3 linked regions of the Macaca mulatta genome follow. The protein of the gene in region 3 interacts with the protein of the main gene of each other region in a pairwise test. Links are inferred from orthologs where the notes say so. Each region holds a gene or a part of one and is shown on either strand. Other genes may lie near its edges. The genes, in order: CERT1, PTPN9 and RTN3.

Region 1 (8,194 bases), on a different chromosome or scaffold from region 3:
TAAAGTCTTGCTGCACAGTGAACATCACAATAAACTGGAAAAGGGAGAAATGTAACCTTTACAGGACTACTTATTTTTGCATGTTTTTATCTATGCTCTGGGGTTTTAAGTATAGAAAAATCTCAAAACTATCTGCCAATTCCAAAAACTAATTAAAAATGGATTGCCAAAATATACTGCATTGGCTCAGGCTCTATATCCACTGAGAAATCTTTTTCTATTCTCTAATTAAGCATTTTTGAGATTTATTCAGTTCTTAAATTTTCTTTTATTTTGTATTTTTTTGAGACAGGGTCTCACTCTGTCACTCAGGATGGAGTGCAGTGGCACCATCTCAGCTCACTGCAACCTCCCGGGCTCAATCTTCCTTCCTCCTCTTCCCAAGTGATTGAGACTACAGGTGCGTGCCCCCACGTCTGGCTAACTTTTTGTAGTGATGAGGTTTCACTATGGTGCCAAGGCTGGTTTCAAACTCCTGGGCTCAAGGATCTGTTTTCCTTGGTCTCCCAAAGTGCTGGGACTACAGGTGAGCCACCATCCCTAGCCAGTTCTTAATTTTTCTAAGCCCCATCATTACAACCCCTCTCTGAGAACTCATCCAAGCTGACAATTTAACTCATTCTAGTGGCTCCTAATCACCACTTCCTTATTTCTAACCGCTTGTGATGTACCACCACTTAGACAAAGGGTTGAAATAAATGATAGTTACCAACAAAACTGAATTTACTTCTATAAGGTGTACTTCCTTCCTATTTTCCTACTTCTTCTTTCCTGCTACTTCTGCTCAGAGTCTGTGTATTAGATATACAAACAGATTAGTGTATACAGGATTAAACAGGCTCAACTACTCTACAACTCACGTGAAGAGAGTTTTGACAAGTTACTTTTGTAAGCTTCAGTTTCTTTGCCTGTTGATTGATGGCTGAATAAAATAATGAAAATGCCTAGCATAGTCACAGAAGATACTCCTAAGTGTTCCTTCTCAATATTTATAGCCCATCACCAAAACCTGCTTATCTTTCCTTCATAGTAAACCCTTAAATTTGCCTCCTCTTCTCATTTTCAACTATTCCAATCAAATTACCCAGTTCCTGTATTCCTTACAGGACTTAATCTTTTCTCTAGTATCTTCTGTGTTTTTCATAATTTACACAAGCTTATTTACTTACTAAGCATGTTTGCTTACTTTTCTTACATGTTGACCGTATTGAGTCTCCAGCTCCAAAACTTACATGGACAACTTCCCACTGACTGTCATACAAATTGTTTAGGGCATTCAAGACCCACCATGGATTAATCTTACCTCATTTATAATTACCACACTTCATAAGGCTAAATTTTGTGATAGTGGTCAAGTTACTTACTCTGTGTTCTTTTCTTTGTCAAACTCTGTCTCTCAGAGTTAAGTTTAAACAAGAATAGACTTAGAACAGTGCCTGGACATAGTATTTTCTGAATCTGAGGAAGAGTTATACATGGCTAATGAAGCTTAACCTTCAGCATTTCTCACTAGAACAGAACTCTTTCAATATTAGAGAAGGGACCCCAGCAATTATGTATCCGTAATTCAATATTATGTTCTTGTAAGAGGCTGAACAAACTATATCAGCTTCAGGACTCTTTTCTCAGTAAGCTGTTAGCTGTTATTATGACACCTGGAAGACAAGTTTTTTGTCTTTTCTCTGCTCTCATAATGTTCCCTCACTCTTCCCCATTTAACAAATACAGACAAGGCAATATGCTAGACATTGCAGGAGAACTGAATGTTACTGTGGCAAACAGGCCAGCAAACACAAACACAAGAGAAAAAAATATATATTTAGAATAAAACAAAATGCTATGGGAATTCAAGTGAAGGAGGTCTTGAATGATGGCAAAATACAAAAAGGCTTTACGGAAAGGACAGTATTTGACTTGGACTCTTAAGGATGGATAGAATTTCAAACAGTTTAGTGTGTGCAAAAACAGAAGGTAAACCATGAAGGATGGAGGAAATTCAGAAATTGAATGAGATTATTTTATCCAGCCTTAGTTGCTCTCAAGTCCTACTAAGGCATGCATCTTTTCCCCACCATGATCCATCACGATACTTGTTATAACCAGACAGAATTATTGTCTATCAAGTATTTTTGGAATCTATACACTTAAGTGATTTATAAGAAATATGCTTCATAGGTATTTCCATATATTTCAGATTACCATATGGAAAATACCCTTTGAACTGGTATATTTCTAATATAAATTTACCCAAGCCCATTCCAAATCCACCCCATTTTGGGGGACAAACGAAACAAATTGTACCGGGACTTATTTACATTATTCAATGGAAGGAAAAGAACAAAAGCCGAGTTCTGATCCTTGTTTAAATTACCAGGTGAATATGAAGAATTCAAAATATATAATTTACATTTAAAAACATGCACCATACTCAGTATGAGTATATATATTCAATTTAGAATACCCTTGATTAAAAAGTTTCCAGAAAACACTGTATATAACCATAAATTGGTAAATCTCAGGAAAATTTCCTTCATAGCTATTAGCAAGAATACCAAAAGCTGTATTCCTATTCATTCTACATAAGAAGCAACAGTCAAAATTTAAGTTATTCACCTTCCACAGAGGTGATCAAATGCATTTGTATGCATTTAAATATCGAGATTGGTCTTCCATTTTTTGATCTATAGTATACCTACTCCACATAAAGTAAAACTCAGAGCACTGGTGACTTTTTCCCCCAGTCACTCCATTCCCCCAACCCCCAAAAAAGTAATTATCAGTAGGTCAAAATTACAATTTGTTTTGTAAAATACTCAACACATCACATTACTAATATGGCAGTCAGCTTCCCATCTTATGAGCAGTGATGAAACTATCAAAATCACTGAGAAGCAAGTAACCCACTTCCTATTATCAACTGAAAATGTGTACCTACTACACAATGTGTTCAATAGAGATTCCTAAATTACAGGATACATTTAATGTAAAGAAATCCTGAGGAGCTTCTCGTTACTGAAAACCTTGCATTGAAATTTCAAGAATGATCACAGCATCAATATACAACTAATTTTTCGGCTATACAAATAAAAGTCAACACTTGCAATCCTTAGTTCTGACTACTCATGCCTTTTCTAGTTCCCTTCTCATTAGCTTTCTACAGACATTATAAAAGCATTATATTAAACAATTCCACAAATAATGTCCAAGTGATGTGCCAAAGTATGAATACTGGAAACAGGGTGATTTCTTAATAGCCAGTAGCTGCACATGACATAGTATCTTATGACCAGCTTGTTGAGGGACTGGCCCAGCTCCCCCTCTCCAAGTTAACTGCTAGCTCCAGCCATTTCTAAAAAAGTTTAACAGGAAGGGGGAGAGAAGTCCAAAAGGCTATGTGAATCTTCTTATAGCAAAAACTTAAAAAAAAAAAAAATCCCAACCACGTAATATCAAGAGATCACCCATCTGCAGTTCTATAATGGCTGCTTTCCTAAAATTTTGATACACGGATTTTAAAAAATACATAAAAGGTAAAACATCTTTTCCTTACCCTGGACCCCTTACCGCAAAAAGAGTTTATTATTAAATAATGCTCTTCTTCCTGGACTAAAGATCAGTCTCCTTTCTCACATGTTTCAAGTTACTATGAATATTTCCTGTACCCATCACGTGCCGATTCAATATCTCTATTCTGAACTAAGGTACAGGGTGAGGGAGAAAGTCCTCCACATTAATCTGTCTCACTACATCTAACCTGGCGAGTTCAACACCTCAAATTTCAACACCAAGCTGAGTCGCTCCGGCTTCTGTCGAAACAGCTGCGTCCGCAGTGCCCCCCAACCTACTCGGCTTAGCATCCTCAGACAGACCAACCTCTTTTAAGAGGTCCGACTTGAACCGCTCCCGTGCCCAGTCGTTCGGACACCGCTGAAGCCCAACCCGGATTCCTTACACCCGGGACAGCTGCCGCCCTAGGTCCCAAGGCACGGCACGCATCTGGTCTCCCAAACTGGATCCCCGGTTGATACACCCTTTCCCTGGTCCTCGGCTGCCCCCGACGAGCCCTCGGGCAGCAAGGACAGGCCCCCTATATCCCCGCCTCATCCCTAGTCGCCGCAGCAGTACTCAGCCTCGCACCCCGGCACGTTCCGCGCCTCCCGCCAGCCCCACCCCACCGCCTCAGCGGATTGCCTCGCGGCAGGTGAGTCTGGCCAGGGGTCCCCTGGCACCACCGGTTGCTCACCTTACTGAGGACCCCGCAGCGCTCCACAGGCGGCCCAGATTCCGTCTCTGGATCCTCCTCCGAGCCCGACGAGTTCCAGCTCTGATTATCCGACATGGAGGCGCGACAGCCGAGCAGGAGACCGGCCCCCGCTCCCTCAACTGCGCCGGAGGAGGCGCCCAGTCCTCGGGGTGAAGGGTCGGGGGATGGCGAAGCGAAGAGTGCCAGCTCCGCTGTGGGGGGGAGCAGGAGGAGGGACGAAGTCCGCTCGCCGCGCCGCCGCCGCGCCTGACACCGAGCGGAGCGGGGAAGGAGGACGAGCGGTGAAGGAAGCCTACCCTTCCAGCCGTCAGCCGCCGCCGCCGTCGCCGGGACCCCTGCGTTGCGCCCGGTGCTGCCACCCGAGCTTAGCCCCCTCGATGCCAATTTCAAATAGCGAAGGAAAAGGGAGAAGAAGGGAAGAGAAAATCCGGCCGCTGAGACCCGAGTACACTCACACCTCCGCTACCGCCGCCATCTTGCTGCCTGGCCCACTATTTACCCTCCCCTCCCCTGTCCTTTCCCCTCCCCTTCGTCCTCCCATTCTCCCCTCCTCCTCCCCGCCCCGTCCCCCTCCCGGCGTCTGACGCGACACGCCAAGCGTGCGGGATCCTCCTCCCGCACCCTACCTCCGGCTCTCCCGGATGACGAGGGGTAGAAAAGTAGGAGGAGCGCAGTAAGGAGAGGGCGGGATAGGGATGCCGCTGTGCTGCATTCTGGGAAGGGCGTTGGTTCGTCGCTCGCCCAGCCTCCTGGGAGTTGTAGTCGCGATCCTGAGGTAACGGGTGAGTATCCCGCGCGGGGATCGCTTGTCGCCTTGGGGACTTGTCAGTCGGTGGGTGGGCTTCGTTTGACAGTTGCGTGACCTGCCTCTTGGCCTCGCTTCTATCCTTGCCTTGTGTGTTTATGACGAACCCTCCGGGCTTGCGGGCCAGGACGTGAGAGAGCTTTCTGCTGAAGATGACGGGCCTGCGTTGCAGGGCTGCTTGTCGAAAGCCCGGGAGCGCGTAGCCGCTTCCGCCTCAACCACGGGATGGGGTTTTGTGAGCTCCTAGTGCCAAGGGGGTTTTCTTTCCACCAGACCACCGCTGTAAATCTCGAGGGTCTTACCCATTAGAAGTTAGAATTCACATTTGACGTTTAAAGGAAGAATTTCCTTAGTACCTTCTGACAAGCACGCACTTCGCATTTTTAGATTTCTAGAATTTTCTTTGTGGAAAGTAATTTTGAGGTTGTCAGAGAATAAATAACGTTAGAAAGGTTTTTAAAGTAAAACAAGAATGTCAGATGATAGCCTGGGATTTTCTCTTAGTTGTAAATGAATATCTTACTGAGAACCACGTTAACCATGCCTGCCCCTCAAAGATAGGAAAGTTTGGATATATAGAAACTTTCTCGTATTAGAAATACGAGATTAGGGGATTAGGCAATAGGTGGCTATTTTTAAGACTAGGGTTGAATTAGCAGAAAGACCAAAAGAAGATCTAACAGCTCTTGTCAGTTGTCAAGGATAACTTTGATGGTGAGACCTTTGACTTTGTAGCTTCAGTAATTTCCTCTCGTTAGCTATTTTAATATAGTCGAGTTCCTGATAATTGCCAAGAGTAAAATTTGTTATTAAGCCTTAGAAAGAATACCTTTTTTACTACAAGGATGGGACAATAGGAGCGAAATTTCGAGTCTAAGGGAAAACGCTAGCCGAGTGCCGTGGCTCACGCCTGTAATCCCAGCACTTTGGGAGGCCGAGTTGGGCGGATCACCTGAGGCCGGGAGTTTGAGACCACCCCGTCTCTACTAAAAATACAAAGATTAGCCGAGCAGGGTGGCGGGTGCCTGTAATTCCAGCTCTTTATATCCTGGTTTCAAATCTAGGCTTGATGACCTTTTCCCATATCCCAGTTTCCTATTTTTTACTTCCTCAATGGGGGATTAATTACGATTCTAAATGTTTGGTAGCATGAAGCTAGGTTATCTCTATCGTGGCAGTGGATATTTAAGTAGGCATTGCCAATATGTATCTTGCTTTCTTTTACTTCCTTTTCTGACCATCCACACTCCATTTATATTGATGAATTCTTTTACTAATGTCAATTATTACTGTATTATGCTCATACTGCCATGTCTTATTCTGCAGCTTTGATCCTTAAGGTGACTTAGCATATCTGTCTAAGACTCCTTTATCTGTTGATTTTTACCATTTAAGGTTCCAAAGGCAGCTGTATTTTTGGAAAAGTGGGAGGGAAGAGGTAGATGGGGGTACTCATTGATACCTTAATGCACTTCACAGCTACTTGAGAATATGTCAGATCCCACAAAAAGTTCTAACATTCGAGAATAAGACAGTGATTTCAGAAATGGAATTTCAAAGGGTGTGTAGGCCACCCTTTTTATTCTGTTTCCTGTTGTACAAATGAGAGCCAGGCGAGGAATGTTTCAAGGAGAAATATTCTTACTATTCAATGAAATTGAAAAATATATTCCCTTATCTTTTACTCATATCTGTTTGGTTTATGGGATAAAAACTTGTTAGGGTAGTTGGTATTTCATAGGCTTCACTATAACATTGAAAAACCTTTTAGTCTAAAAATCACACAGTACAGTACACTGATGAACAGTATTAGTGCCCACTCTTGGCATGTACACATGTTCTTTCTTTCGTTTTTATTTTGCTTAGCTTTTGAATTGCTTTTCCTGTTAGATTGAGAAATTATTTTATTAATATTTTAAAGGCATACTATATAAAGCAGTGTGGTGGTATCTTATGTATCAGTAGAATCCTCATGATAGTTATTTTGTAAACGTGTTTTGCTTCTTGTTTTTTTCTAACCCTTTTATTGTTTCACTTCTATAATTTCAAATCTTTTTCTTCTTAGTCAAATAAGTTGAAAAAATATTTCTATAGAGCATACATGTTGCTATGGTGATAGCTTATGAAAATATAGTTTATCCCTGTTTAAGATCTTTATTAAGATCTTGCTATATGATCATCTGAGATACTATAAAAGTAAAATATAAACCATTTCTGTAGAGTCATTGTTTTCTAGCATTTTACTGTCTAGGTATTCTGACAATAATTATGTGTAGAAAGTGAATAAAGATTTTAAATTGCCTGTGACGTAGGAGGTTTTCAGTAAATAATAACCGATGAATGAAATAAGTTTAGCCTGGTTGATAATTGAAGGGAAGTTGTAGGAACTGCCATTAACAGGGCCCAAGAAAAAAATCACTAACGTGATTAAAATCAGTCAGAGACCAAAGAATCAAATAACATCATAGCTTTTTGTAAGTAGCAAGTGTCATTTGCTAAAGGCCTACAAAATGTCAAACATTGTTTTAGGTTCATTTGATTTATTCACTCGTCACAAAAATCCTGCAAGGTAGACATTATTCTTATTTTACACATGAGGAAATTAACATTCAAAGAAGTTAAGTAAATTGCCCAGATCATCGCTAGTGAATAGTCTAGTCCAGGCTTTGGACCTTAGACGCTTGTAATACATAACTTTTAATACGTATAGAATTGATTTTAGATTGTCACTCAGGCATAATGGTACATACCTGTAGTCCTAGCTGCTCAGGGTGCTGAGGCGACAGGCTAGCTTGACCCCAGAGGTTTGAGGCTATAGTGAGCTGTGATCGTGCTAGTGTACTCCAGTGTAGGTGACAAAGTGAGACCCTGTCTCAAAAAAAAAAAAAAAAAAATTCCAAAACACTATTATCCCAAATTATTTTAAATGATTAAACATTTGAGAATCTGTCAGAGCCAGATAGATTACGTTCTAGGTGTGTTACATAGTTTTTCTTTAGTTTAACGGTTTTCTTAAAAGAAAATTCACCCACATACATTTTTAAGGTACAATAACATAAGAGCCAGTTTACAATTCTTTTCTTGCTAGTGTGTACTAGCAAGTATATGTTCCAATTACCCATAAA
Region 2 (6,998 bases), on a different chromosome or scaffold from region 3:
TTTACTTTTTTTGAGACGGAGTTTCACTCTTGTTGCCCAGGCTAGAGTGCAATGGCACGATCTCAGCTCACTGCAACCTCTGCCTCTCAGATTCAAACGATTCTCCTGTTTCAGCCTCCCGAGTAGCTGGGATTACAGGCACAAGCCACCGTACCCAGGTAATTTTTGTATTTTTAGTAGAGACGGGGTTTCATCATATTGGTCAGGCTGGTCTCGAACTCCTGACCTCAGGTGATCTGCCCACCTCGGCCTCCCAAACTACTGGGATTACAGGCGTGAGCCACCGCACCCAGACCCTGAACATTTTCTCTTGCTTTGTTCAGTAAGTCTCCTATATGAGAATCCCGACTTGCCAAACAGATTCTGGGTTGCGTCTCTGCCTTCCCTTTCCCTCCTCCTTTAACACCTAACACAGGTAGGATCAAACTGGTAAAAGCTACAAACAATGGCAGTGGGAGGAGTTCCTCGAGTTTTATTGAAAATTTAGGAGACATCAATTCGTTAACTCTCTACAGAGTCAGAAACATGAACTAAATCTGTGGTTCCCAAACCTGGATCATCCTGTCACTCACTAACAACCTACTGGATGGACCCAGGAATCAGCATTTTATGGAGCTCAAGTGATAGATAACCTCACCAATCTTCAGATATGCAATGAGGAATTCAAGCATAACTTTATATTCACAGGGCAGTTGGGTTACAGCCTCTTCAAATAAATGACAATTTAAAGTTACCTCCTCCAGGCCTTTTATCATTAATCCCATTTCTTACACGTTCCACTAAACCCCTAACCTCTCTGGTTTCTCAAATTTCCAAGAATCTCTGTTCACTTCTTATGTTTGTGCACTCCCAAGAGAATGGAGGCTTATCTGGAGAAGGAACTAGATTAATCTTCTGCTCTACACTTGAGCTCCTGATTATAGTAAGAAACTCAATAAAAATTTATTGGCAGATCAGAAGATGGATCCTTAGAGGAAGTCTAGTGTAAGAGTTGAAAGAAGGTACTTTGGAGTCAGATGGTCTGGATCCTGGCTGTAGCAAATTAACATTCCTGTCTCTCAATTTTTTTCTTCTGTCAATACCTACCTCAAAAGGTTGTGGAGGGTGAATGAAATGATACCTAGAAATTACTCTAAACAGTGCCTGGAATAGAGTAAGCATCCAGTAAATTGCTTGCTATGACTATTATTAAGAACACCTCAATATTTCCCAGCCACAATTGCCCCAACTGGGCAAGCCATCACCAGCCAACAGGTGTGATATGGGGAGTGGTCTTCCATGGACAAAGCTTCTGGTTCCATTCTTTCTACGAGAGAAATGCAAATGACTCAAAATCTTCTCACAAACACCATGTATCCATAGATAGGGAGTTTCCTGGGGAGAATGACAACCCTTTTGGTACTCTGCAGACATGAGGACCCTACATCAGGAGGTCCTAGCTAGGAAAGTCAGTCAGACATGAGGACCCCACATCAGGAGGTCCTAGCTAGGAGAGTCAGTCACCAACCCTGTCGCGCTTCGAGTCTACTACATGAAGCATGGGCACAAGAACAACAACCTGGAACTTAAGAACTATTTATACTCTGAAAGGACAGCTAAACAAACCTCTGTTCTCCAAAGACAAGATCTCCATCTTCCATGCAGTGAGGAGACCACAGGCTTTGTAAGCAGACCAACTTGAGCTCGTTTTAGAGCAAATCACTGTAACCCTCTGGACCTCACTTTCCTCATCTATATAGAAATGAGAAAGGGGTGCACAGGAGAAGGGAGAGAAGATAATAATATCTCACTGAATTGTTGTGAGGTTTGAATGAAGCAATGAGGAAAAAAGCACCTAGCATAGCACTTAGCACATCTCAAGCACTGAACTGGTGCTGGTCCCTCTGTCCAGATATAGGGCCATGGCTTACAGACAAGGTGAACTCATAGTGTCAGAACTCTAAGTCTCAGATACTGAAGCCTTGGGTCCCTCCCTGCCTCCCTCATCCCTCCCAGACCAGCTCCTGGACCCCCTCCCTCATGTCCCAGGCTGCTAAATTGATGAAGCTAAAAGGGTTTTGATCATGTCGGTATATTTATATGTAAATACAAAACTGTATCACTGTAAGATATTGAATATGAACATTACAATTATTTTCTGAATCTGCCTCAGTCCATTGATATTAAATACAAAAATGAAATGATTGTAAAAAATAAGAATATACACATTCAAAGAGCTTATTACAATATAAAATTATTGAGGTCTCATCAGCTGCCAACCTCATCTTCTGTGACAGGGGAAGGTTTAGGAGTTCCTGGGATTTTCTTGGGAATGTGGAGTGCTAAGGACTCTTGATTTATCCCTAGCACATAAGGATGAGTGGGCTGGGAGCAGGCAGGGACAGGCTGGGTGGGTAGGGGACAAACAGTGATTGCAGGGGACCACCTCACTCAGCCAGAGGGTAAAGCTTTTTATTGACACAGAACCCACCCAGTTTGAGGGTCTAGCAGGCTAGCAGGCAGGAAGAGATGGGCATCTCAGTAGACGGCCAAGCTTCATAAAGGAACCATCCAGCAAAAGAAAAAGGGCCCCAGCCCATCCTCCCAGGGAGGCATTTTCTTAGTAGTTTTTTCTCTCTCATACCTGGGCTACGCCTCCTTCCTTCTAAGACTTCGTACCGATTGCATGTGGCTCTGGCTGCTCAGTGAGTTCATCTCTACCCTCCGCCTCCCATCCATGGGATAGTGAAAGCAAAGAGAGAGTACGGAATCACAGTGGAGGTCTGTTCCCCAAATTGGCCAAGTAAACGCAGAAAAATCATCAGATAAGGGAAATCCATGCTGAGCTAACCCAGTGTCACCACAAACTAATACATTCGTGGCTCCAATAGGAGGGAGGTAAGTCATTACTTAAGGAAGGGGCCCCGTGGCAGGAACATGGAGAAGTGTGTGTGTCCTCTTCCACCACTCTGTAGCCTGACAACAGGAGACATGATCACCAACCCAAGCTAGTCCAGGATAAATAGCAGGGTCCAAGAAGCAAGGAGTCCTGAACTGCAACACAGAGCCCCAGGAACTTCTACAAAGGAATATCTGTGTGTATATGTATTTATAGAATACGATCATATTATCACATACAATATATATTATATACACACGTACATATGGACCCATACACATAAGTACACACACGCACACACACAGAATGACAGGACTCGAATACACGCCCTACTTATAAACGTGCTTGGCACTCAGGACGATCTCTAGAATATGTAACTTGGTCAAGCTCTCTGGGGAGAAAGGCAAATGCTCATCAAACCTCCCCATAAAATCCTAGCAAAGGGAAGGAGTGGGAGACAGGAGACCTCCAGAAAGAGAATGGTGGGAGAAAGGAGGAGGGAGGTTCCTTCCCCACTTACCTCGGGGACCCTGGCAAAAATCAATAGCCACAATTTGGTTTTAATAAGGCACAGTTCGATAGCAGGTGCTAGGAATTAAGAACACATTGCTGCTGGCCCTTTCTAGTGGCAATTTCACCACATTTATCTAGCCAAAGGGAAAGGCTGCCTTGTGTGCACACGTGTGCCGGGAGACAGAAGAAAGAAGTTGATCCATGGCTTCAGCGTAACTGATGGCAACCTATAGGCTCAGCGGTGTCCAGGGTAGTTTAAGGAAGGCTGGCCAGCAGGTAGGAGGTTCGTGGGAGAGTTACTGACCCTCCACAGCCAGCAGGTTTTGGCCAGAGGATACCATGCCCTCCTTCTCTGCGAACTCCAGGATGGCCTTGTAGCAAAAATAGTACTGCTCAGGGGTCTGGATGCTGAAGGCCCTCTGGGTCCTCATGCGTGACACCGTCTGGAACACATTAAGGGTGCCAAGCTCCTCCAGCTGTGCCAGGCAGATGTCCAGTGAGCAGAAGGTACCTGAAGAAGGAAGGAAGTGATCACATCTGGTTTACCTCTCCTCTCCTCCTCCCTCTACCAAATAACCCAGGGAGAACTGAATGAATGAATTCAAAGGCAAAGCACCTCTTGGCAGAAGGCCAGGTGGCCTTAGGCCTGAAAGGACTCGAGGAGGAGGTCACAGGGAGTGTTGGAGGCCAGAGAAATGAGAAGGCCTCTTACCTCTCAGGACATACACTGGGGTAACAGGAAGTGGAAACGGGAAGGTGACATAAGGGAACTTCCTGCTTCAATCCCAGACAGACAGACTGACAGCACTCCCACACCTAATTTCCAGAGTCCACAAGTTTTTCAGAGGCCTAACACAAACCTATTCCCAACTTTCTCCCAAAGGACCTTTGAACTAGAAAGGCCAACATTTTCTACCATGTACATGCCCTTAAGACAAAAGCTGCTAACTGGCTCCAGAATGGAGAACACAGCACAGGGTGGGGAGTCCCTCCAGGGAGGGCTATATGGGAAGGAAGCAGCAGACCAGCTGAGCTCCCTGGGATACCTGCAGCGACAGTGCTAACAAGTGACAGGATCAGCGTTATGATGGGGTATATAAAACATCAACCCCTAGAGGACTTGGCTTGTGAAATATATATTCTGGCCATCACTTGGTCCACCAAAAGGACATTAGAAGAGGGATTTTTCACAGCAATTCACCACCAAGGGAGCAAGTGAGTTCCTTCTCCAATCACAGATGTGGGCTAAGAGCTTTGTTTTTCCTCCTCCACCCCTACTGCCTCTGCAGACACCAAGAGCTGCATTAGGTGCATTACCTGTCCTGCCAATGCCTGCACTGCAATGGACCACAATGGGTGGCTCAGAGCACTGCACTTTGGAGCGTGCTCCCATGTTGCTCACAGCCAGGCTCTGCTGGTTTCTGACCACTCTCAAGAAGTCAATGAGGGAAGCTGCTGAGGAAGGGACACCATAGTCTGGCCAGCTCAAGAACTGGAAGTGGGTCACCTGGCGTTTCTGCCGTTCCTTAGATGAGAAAAGAAGTAAACGTTAACGAGGTTATTTCTGCCTGCCCCTAGCTACCACTGGCTTTTCCAGATTCTCAACACCCTGGTTATCCCTACCACCAAGGCTTCTATCCACCACTGTCAACTTTTCCCGTAACTGCTTCTTTACTATAAACCCAAAGGAAGGGTTGGTTAATTGTTTGGAAAAGGCAGAATTCCTATACTGTAAGATCCAGAATTTTTTTTTGAGACAGGATCTCACTCTGTCGCCCAGGCTGGAGTACGGTGGCATGATCAAACTTACTGCTGCCTTGACCTCACAGGCGTGTGCCACCATGATCAGCTAATTTTTTCTATGTTTTGTAGAGACGAGATCTCACTGTGTTGCCTAGATTGTCTTGAACTCCTGGGCTCAAGTGATCCTTCCACCTCTGCCTCCCAGAGTGCTGGGATTATAGACGTAAGCCATTGCATCCAGCCCCAGACTTCTTTCTTTATTTTACTTTTTTTTGAGACAGTCTCTCACTGTCGCCCAGGCTGGAGTGCAGTGGTGAGGTCTCTGCTCACTTCAACCTCCGCATTGTGAGTTCAAGCGATTCTGCCTCCCAGCTAATTTTTTCTATTTTTTAGTAGAGACAGGGTTTCACTACGTTGGCCAGGCTGGTCTTGAACTCCTGACTTTGTGATCCGCCCGCCTCAGCCTCCCAAAGTGCTGGGATTACAGGCTTGAGCCACCGCGCCCGGCCTTACCCAGCCCCAGATTTCTATAAGCTTTACTCCTATTTAATGTTCCTATTGTGCTGCAGTAATATGGCTATATTGGCTGTGAGTTAAATATCCTCATCCTGTCCCTAGAAAAACAGAAGCAACTCATAACCTCCCTGGTATCCTATCTATTCCCTCTGGAGATTTTCATTACAGTAAGTATTCTCCCCCTGTTTCAATAAGGTCAGAAAAAAGAAACCTGGATTTACCTCTGTGTTGTGAATTTCTAGTGTTGTTTTCTTATAATGATTCATGTTCTCCACGCCTAGATTGGTCACTGTGAGGAAGCCAAATCGGATCCGAGAGTCTTTTTCTAAAGGCCAGTACTGGCCACACTTTCTCCTGCCGCCTTCTTCAAAGCTGAAGACACACAGAGCAAGGTAAGCCTTCCATCCTTCCTCTCCACAGCAGTAACCGGGCTTCCACAAAGACCTGATATACCCCCAGGCAGCAATATCATCTCTTGCATTGCTTCTAACTTACACCATTTATTCTCAGCAGAAAGGAAAGGAAACCTCTTCATTCTAAACAAATGTACTCACAGCCAAAGTTTCTGCATGTACTCATATAGCATACAGTTACTGAGCACTTACTACAGCATTTAGTCTTTTTCCTAATATGCAATAGTACTTCTCATATATGTGGGATAAATACCGGGTGAACAGAGAAAAAAACAGTATAGTAGCTGGGGGTAGTAGTGCATGCCTGTAACCCCAGCTACTTGAGAGGCTTAGGAAGGAGAATCACCTAAGACCAGGAGTTTGAGACCAGCCTGGGCAACATGGTGAGACTCCATCTCAAAAAAAAAAAGAAAAAGAAAAAGAAAAAAAAAAACAGTAGAGAAAATATGATAGGTCAGAGAGAACTCTCTGGCCTATACCTCAGCCACTGCTTATTGTATTCCCCAATAAGAGATGTTGGATAATAGAGAATTGATAAACACACATCTCCTGGAATGTTAGCAGGAGGTTTGTGTAAAGGCCTAAAGTCCCAGCCCAGGTAACATGGAAACCCTGTCTCTACTAAAAATACAAAAACTAGCCAGGCATGGTGGTGGGTACCTGTAGTCCCAGCTACTTAGGAGGCTGAGGCAGGAGGATTGCTTGAATCCAGGAGGTTGAGACTGCAGTGAGCTGAGATGGTACCACTGCACTCCAGCCTAGATGACAAAGCGAGACTCTGTCTCAAAAAAAAAAAAAAAAAAAAAAAGCTTAGGCTGGGCGCAGTGACTCGTGCCTGTAATCCCAGCACTTTAGGAGACTGAGGTGGCGGATCGCCTGAGGTCAGGAGTTCAAGACCAGCCTGGCCAACATGGTGAAACCCCATCTCTACTAAA
Region 3 (7,533 bases):
CAGAGCAAGACTCTGTCTCAAAAAAAAAAAAAAAAAAAGAAAGAAAAGAAAAGTACCTTGAAATATAACTGGAGCATAGAAAAAATTTTTGGGAAATATTGGTATTAAGGAAACCAAATCAAGTAATCATTTAAAAAAAGACGAGAGAGGAGTCTGCCTTTCCCATCATACAGTATATTATATTTGTATTCTAGCCATAATTTTGTAGGTATAAATCAGACTCTAACATAAACGGCACGCTGATAAGTAATCAATCACAGAATTAACCACATGCAGTATTCTAATATAAATGGTTACCTGAGAAGTCTGTCAGAAGTCTTGCTAGGACATGCTTTTTTACCAATTCAGTCTTGCTAAGGCTGGAAACAGCATCTACCCTAGAAGTTTCTCTGACAGTAGTGGGTTTTTGGGAAATCCCAAGATCGGATCCATTCTTGACATTATGTTCTAGGATGTCATATGATCTCTGTGGCCAAGATTCTGGAGCAAATGTGAAAGTTTGCTTCAGTACTTCTTCAGAAGGCAATTCTGCGTCATGCTGTGCAGAAGCTGACTTCTCAACCTGTCTTTCACCTAATTCTTTAAGAGCCTTAATTGTGAGCTGTTCTTGTTCTAAGTCAAGAGATGCTACTGGAGTACCTTGGGTAGGGAAAACACTTAGAGGCTCACTTCCATTTGTTTGTTTGTTTTGTTCACTGTATTTGCTTCCAATGCCTTTAATTTCAGAACCACTGGACTCACTTTCATGTAAGACTTCTACAGGAGGAGTTGTTTTAAAGTCTGTCATCTTCTCTGATATTGCTTTAAAGGCATTTCCTTCACTATCTACTATTCCTTTATCTCTGGTTTCTGTAAAGGCTGCTATCAGGTCCTCTGGGGAGGAATCATCTATATGTTTAACATTTTTCCCATGTAATGACTCCAAGTAGGCAGATGTTGTCACATTTAATGAGAATTCTGTCTCATTAAAAACATTTGGAGACACTGTTGAAGGAAGTTTGGGGTTCTCAGTAGTAACAGGCTTTTCAGGAGCAACTTCACTCACATCTTCTAAGCAGACATTTATATTGAGTACTTTTGCTGCCTCACTAGCTGGACTCCTTCCAAGAATATCAGGTTGCTCTTGATGCAGCTCAGAGTCACTGACCAACTCTTGAAAATTTTTAGATGTTTTTTCTACTCTCTTACAACTGGGAATCTCTTTGATTTCTCTTTCACCTGTTTTTACAACAGCACTTGGAATGGAAACAGGTTTTTCAGCTTGAATTTTCTTATTTTCAAATGATAGATCTGCTGTGATGTCCTCTATTACTGTGTCATCAGACTCACCAGAACTATCAGCTTCTGTGATTTCTCCCAATGCAGAGCTCTGCCAGTTCATTTCATCTTTCAGGTGGTCATCAGGTAAAACCACTTTCACTGTGGCCACTCCAGAACCCAAAGAGTCACATTTCTCAGGTGGAGATCCAGGTAATTCTGCAAGTGTGTCACCCTGTTTCTGCATACTGCCTTGCACACCTTTGATACTGAATTCTTTTGTGGAATTGAAAGAGTCGGGTATAGGTTTTCCAGTGATAGCATTTTCTTGTAGGAGAGATGCTTCTGTCCAATCACCTGTTGATTCAGTGATGGGAGTGCTCCCATTAATAGAACATACAGGAATTTTCTGATGAGTGTTAACTTTAAGATTTACAACTGGAATTTCAGAATTATATTCACTCATGTCAAGTCCTGTAGTTTTTGTGATGCAGTCAGAAGATTTATCAGTCTGTTGTTTCACTTGGGGAACCAGATCCCAAGTCAGTATTTCGTTAGTAAAGTTATGCATATCATTCACGCATCTAGACACCTCTTCCAGTGCTGCATTTGTGTGTGAAAACTGCCTACTGAGCAATGCAGACATTTGGTAACGTCCTGCCTCTTTATTTCTCAGTGGAAAAAGCTTGTCATTAGTCTCTGAAATGTCTTCGGATGATTCTCTATCAGTGTGCATAGACCAGCTACCAAAATCATCTGTGCTCTCCTTATACGAGTCTTTAAATTCTTTGTCAAATGCTGCTTTGTCAATAATTACTTCAAATGGTGATTCAGGGGAATCCTTTTCAATAACACCATCTCCTGAAACTTTGGATGGGGACAAAGAGTATGTATAAATGCCTTCTACCTTAGAGTATTCAGTAGGTGGTTTTTGGGCTGTTAGCAAAGTGAATCTGTCATCAGCATCCAATGCGGTTTTAGCTTCCCTACTTGATACCTCATTTGGGTTCTTGGTCTCTTTATCTATTTGCTCTTCCACTTGACCAATTTTCTTTGAAAGCAAAGCAGGATGCTCTGGGAAACTGGCTGGAATAGAAGGACGGTCACAATGAACTCCTGCTGCAAGAGAAATTGGAGAGTCTGACATGTTGTTGCTGATCCCCTGAGGCTTTTCCATCTTTTTCATATCCAGAAGATCCAAGTGGTCTTTTCCTTCTTTGGCTAAAATAGGCTGGCTCCCTAACACATTGCTTTTTTCTCCATGTAGTATTGTAAGGCCATTGTTATGTATTTCAGAAGATGAAAGAAAGGAAGATGTCATAATTTCTGAAGATGGCTCATCAGAACAAAGAGAGCTCAAGAATTTCAAAGAAAATAATTGTTTACCAGGTACAATTACACATTAGCTAGCCAAGCCAAGCAGCATGCTTTTTATTTTTTAAATTACATAAATATATATATATACACACACACAGGATGTATATATACACACATAAATATGTAACAAAATGATCAAGTTATCCTACAGGACATGCATAAAGCTGCCAACAGTGAAACAGAAAAGCCATATCATGCCACAAACTGCAAGTAACAAAAAAATTTCCTAACAAACACTTTTTGGACTACTTTTCCATTGTAAAGAGAAAGCATAAAGAAGGGCGGAAAGATTGAGAAATCTTGGGAGGTTTTTTATTATTTTGGTAGAGCTAATCAACAAAAGCAAATAATTGATACAAAATAAATAACCTGATACTATAAAGAGTTGATAGACTTTAATCTGTAAGCTGAACAATTCAGAGCACAGACTGCCTCTGTAAATCCACTATTATAGTCTCACAATCTGAGAAGGAAAAAAACAAGTGGCCAGACTTGTTTTTGATTTTTAGGAGATGCAGTAGACCCTCTCTGACCTGAAAATGAGACTAGAATTATTCTATTCTATCCACAGGAAGAATCTGTCCCATGTACAAATAAATAGCTGTGATGTTCTAAACTAAAGCGTACTGAAAAAGGTGGACCCCCTCCAAAATCTTTTTTTTTTTTTTTTTTTTAATACAGAGTCTTTTTCTTGTCGCCCAGGCTGGAGTGTAATCGCATAATCTCAGCTCACTGCAACCTCCACCTCCCAGGTTCAAGTGATTCTCCTGCCTCAGTCTCTCAAGTAGCTGGGATTACAGGCAGGTACCATCAAGCCTGGTTAATTTTTGTATTTTTAGAAGAGACGGTGTTTCACCATGTTGGCCAGGCTGGTTTTGAACTCCCAACCTCAAGTGATCTACCCACCTTGGCCTCCCTAAGTGCTGGGATTATAGGTGTGAGCTGCCACGCATGGCCCCTCCAAAATCTCTTGTACTAACTTGTCATTGAAATCAATATTGTACTGTGCAAATTGATTTCTTTGGTTAAGAGAGAGTTAACTGGGCCGGGTGCAGTGGCTCACCTGAGGTCAGGAGTTCGAGACCAGCCTGACCAAAATGGTGAAACCTTGTCTCTACTAAAAATATAAAAAAATTAGCCAGGCGTAGTGGCAGGCACCTGTAATCCCACCTACTCAGGAGGCTGAGGCAGGAGAATCCTCTGAACCTGGGAGGCGGGCACTGCAGTGAGCTGAGGTCGTGCCATTGCACCCCAGCCTGAGTAACAAAAGTGAAACTCCATCTCCACACACATACACACAAAAAAGAGTGACCTCCAGAATTACTTTTAAAATAGAAAATATCCTTCTCAAAGTAATATGTTGTCTTAGTAGTTAATAAGCCATCAATCTACCACGCTGTTTTCTAACTTCCTACTCTAACAAGTTTTTACTGGGGAAAAGGATCAAAACAAATATCCCAAGGGCTGGTGCTTTCTTACTTCACTTATTTGTTTGTATTTGAGACAAGGTCTTCCTCTGTCCTCCAGGCCAGAGTGCAAGTGGTGCAATTGTGGCTCATTGCAGCCTTGACCTCCTGGCCTCAAGCTATCCTCCCACCTCAGCCTCCCAAGTAGCTGGGACCACAGGCACATGCCACCACACCTGGCTAATTTTTAAACTTTCTGCAGACATGGTGCCTCGCTACATTGCCAGGTTGGTCTCAAACTACTGGGTTCAAGCAACCTGCCCACCTTGGCCTCCCAAAGCACTGGGATTATAGGCATGAGCCACCAAGCCCAGCCCTGGGCGCTGTCTTTCTTGCATATTGTTGTATCTTTGGAGCTGGAACAAAGTGGGTCTTAAATAAATAGCCCCAAATAAGTGAATCAAAGATTCAGCTTGGTCAGCTGAGACCTAAGTAGGCTCAGGACAGCAATGCCTTGAGCATGAATAACTGGGAAAAATGTGACAGAGAAGTTCTTTTAGGATTATCTTTATTCAGTCTATATTCTCTTTTTCATGTAAACATCCGAATACCAGATAAAAGCAAAATTATGACGTCATTCAAAATTATTTTATTAAAGACAAAAATATTTTACAATAAATAAAATTCCACTATTATAAAAATGTTTTGAAATGCCATATAAAGTTCCCCTACTTCAACACATCACTGAAATTTGATGTAATAAGAGCTGAGCTTTAGAAATAGTATAACTGAAACCTGGTTATTAGAATAAAAAGCCTTTGTACGTTAAGGAAAACAGTTAAAGCTTGGTGGCAAAGCTATATTACCAAAACAAAACACTTGAAGTAAACTATAACTCATATGTAGTTCTAATTTAGTAAAACATGGTTTGCATCTGCCATTATATAGTATGGATATTCAGCATGACTAGATTAGGGCATAACAGAAATGAAGCCCAGCACTGTAGGTTAAAAGGTTCAAACATCTGAAGTATAAAGTACTACAGATTACATTTAAATCAGAAATATTCCACAATCTGAGCCATGCATTGTTACTGAAGCTACTAGTCAGTGTTTCTACCAGAAAGCATTCAGTGAACTACGGTTATTGTAAAACTGTTTGGAAACCTCTCTCTCTCTTCAAACAACTCTGAGGTAAGTCAAACTGACTCCACCCCACAGGGAAGGTTCAGCTTATATGTTTTTTTAATGTGTTTTTTGTGTGCTTTTTTAAGACAGAGTCTAGTTCTGTCGCCCAGGATGGAGTGCAATGGTGTAATCTCGGCTCACTGCAACCTCCGCCTCCCAGATTCAAGCAATTTTCCTGCCTCAGCCTCCCGAGTAGCTGGGATTACAAGCGTGCACCACCACACCTGGCTAATTTTTTGTATTTTTAGTAAAGATGTGGTTTTACCACACTGCCCAGGCTGGTCTCGAACACCTGAGCTCAAGCAGTCCGCTCGCCTCAGCCTCCCAAAGTACTAGGATTACAGGCATGACCCACTGCGCCCAGCCAGCTTATGGAGATGGAGATTTCAGATGATTCAGATCTGTCATCTTACAGATGAAAGTCTACAAAATGAATTAGCAATAATTCAAGAGGTATTTATTGAGTGCCTACCACGTGCCAGACATTGTTTTAGAAACTGGGCTTAAAGCAGTGAATAAAACAGAAAAAATTTCTTGCCTTTATGGAGCTTACAACACAGAGGGGAAGGCAGACAATAAGCAAAATCAATAAGTAAAATGATGATGACAGTGATATAGTGGTGATGGTGCTTGATTAAACTAAAAAGAAAGCAACCAAATTGAATGCTAACCAAAGAATATTCACATCACTGGGAAGAGCATGGTAAAACTGTCTATGCTTTAGCAGGACACAAACTGGTCAGTTTATCAGTTTTGCTTTTCTCTTAACTTTCTTGAACTTTTAGTACTCCAAAAGCTTCAAGTTAGGTGTAGAATAATCTTAGGTAAAACTAAAGATAACGTTAGAAGTCCTATATTCAGAATACTAAGAAGTCCTCTACTGAGCACCATAATGGCCTGACAGACTTCAAACATTAAAGATTATTTAGGCTGGGTGTGGTGGCTCACGCCTATATCTCAGAACTTTGGGAGGCAGAGGAGGGAAGACTGCTTGAGTCCAAGAGGTCAAAATCAGCCCGGGCAACATGGTGAGACCCTGCCCCTACAAAAAATAGAAAAATTAGCTGTGCATGGTGGCACGTGCCTGTAGTCCCAGTCACTTGGGAGGCTGGAGTGGGAGGATTGCTTGAGTTTGGGAGGTCAAGGCTGCAGTGAGCCACGGTCATGCCACTGCACTCCAGCTTGGGTGACAGAGTGGAGAAAAAAAAGAAAAGAAAGGAAAAGAAAAAAAGAAAAACAAAAGGAAAAAAGAAAAAGAAAAAAGATTACTTAATATGACATGGTTACTAGATATATAAAAAAACCTCTAATAATGTTCCCTAATAAAAATATTATAACTTACTATTTAGGGTGTATATTATTTTCTGGGGGCAAGCTCAGAGGGTAAACAGAGGTCAGTGCTGCCTTTATTTCTCAGTGATTGTGAGATGCAGGCGCTAATCATTATTGTCAGTCAAGCTTTCCCACGTGTAGAAAAATAAGGTAACATCATCATCTGAGCTTTAACTTTAATTATTTTGTTTAGAATTTCAGCAAATGAAAAGACCATTTTTGGCCAGCTGAAACCCTAACAAATGTGGACAGAGCTGACCTGTACCAAGACAATGGGAAAAATTGGGCTGGAAGTAAAAAGTGTATAAAGGCATGAAAACATTAAATAGAATGAAGACCAAAAACTAATAAGCCTTTTAGAACAGCTCCGATAAGCAAAGACTCTTCCAACTGGTCAGCATGGCACTTGTAGTCACTGGTGTTGCCCAGGTCAGTACATGGCAAAAGGACAGAATAGTCCAGTGAATCTGAAGGCAGTTAGCTCCTAAAATACTAAACACTGTAAAACTGTCTGGTGGAATAAATCTGGATTATTTTATGTCTCAGAAAATGTCTACCACCTTTCTTTTTTCAAAAGATTCATCCCGGCTGGGCACGGTGGCTCAAGCCTGTAATCCCAGCACTTTGGGAGGCCGAGACGGGAGGATCACGAGGTCAGGAGATCGAGACCATCCTGGCTAACACGGTGAAACCCCGTCTCTACTAAAAAAATACAAAAAACTAGCTGAGCGAGGTGGCAGGCGCCTGTAGTCCCAGCTACTCGGGAGGCTGAGGCCGGAGAATGGCGTGAACCCGGGAGGCGGAGCTTGCAGTGAGCTGAGATCCGGCCACTGCACTCCAGCCTGGGCGACAGAGCGAGACTCCGTCTCAAAAAAAAAAAAAAACAAAAACAAAGATTCATCCCTTCACATGCACTCCAAGAGCCTTCCAACATTACCCAAAACAAATCGCCATCAAAACTCATTATGAACATT

What was found.
Region 1: the proteins of RTN3 (region 3) and CERT1 interact in binary tests that used the Homo sapiens proteins (3 or more experiments, as listed by UniProt). The link is inferred for Macaca mulatta from reciprocal best matches to the Homo sapiens genes RTN3 and CERT1.
Region 2: the proteins of RTN3 (region 3) and PTPN9 interact in binary tests that used the Homo sapiens proteins (3 or more experiments, as listed by UniProt). The two-hybrid records come from large-scale screens. The link is inferred for Macaca mulatta from reciprocal best matches to the Homo sapiens genes RTN3 and PTPN9.

Annotation. Positions count from the first base shown.
Region 1 is NC_133411.1:81,910,148-81,918,341, forward strand, and holds the start of CERT1 (ceramide transfer protein), read right to left. Parts: upstream 4,762-8,194; 5' UTR 4,340-4,761; coding exon 4,244-4,339; intron 1-4,243. UniProt on the Homo sapiens protein: Shelters ceramides and diacylglycerol lipids inside its START domain and mediates the intracellular trafficking of ceramides and diacylglycerol lipids in a non-vesicular manner.
Region 2 is NC_133412.1:53,509,071-53,516,068, forward strand, and holds the end of PTPN9 (tyrosine-protein phosphatase non-receptor type 9), read right to left. Parts: intron 6,023-6,998; coding exon 5,872-6,022; intron 4,917-5,871; coding exon 4,709-4,916; coding exon of another isoform or gene 4,670-4,708; intron 3,929-4,669; coding exon of another isoform or gene 3,903-3,928; coding exon 3,688-3,902; 3' UTR 2,056-3,687; downstream 1-2,055. UniProt on the Homo sapiens protein: Protein-tyrosine phosphatase that could participate in the transfer of hydrophobic ligands or in functions of the Golgi apparatus.
Region 3 is NC_133419.1:10,700,502-10,708,034, forward strand, and holds part of RTN3 (reticulon-3), read right to left. Parts: intron 2,613-7,533; coding exon 298-2,612; intron 1-297. UniProt on the Homo sapiens protein: May be involved in membrane trafficking in the early secretory pathway. Inhibits BACE1 activity and amyloid precursor protein processing. May induce caspase-8 cascade and apoptosis.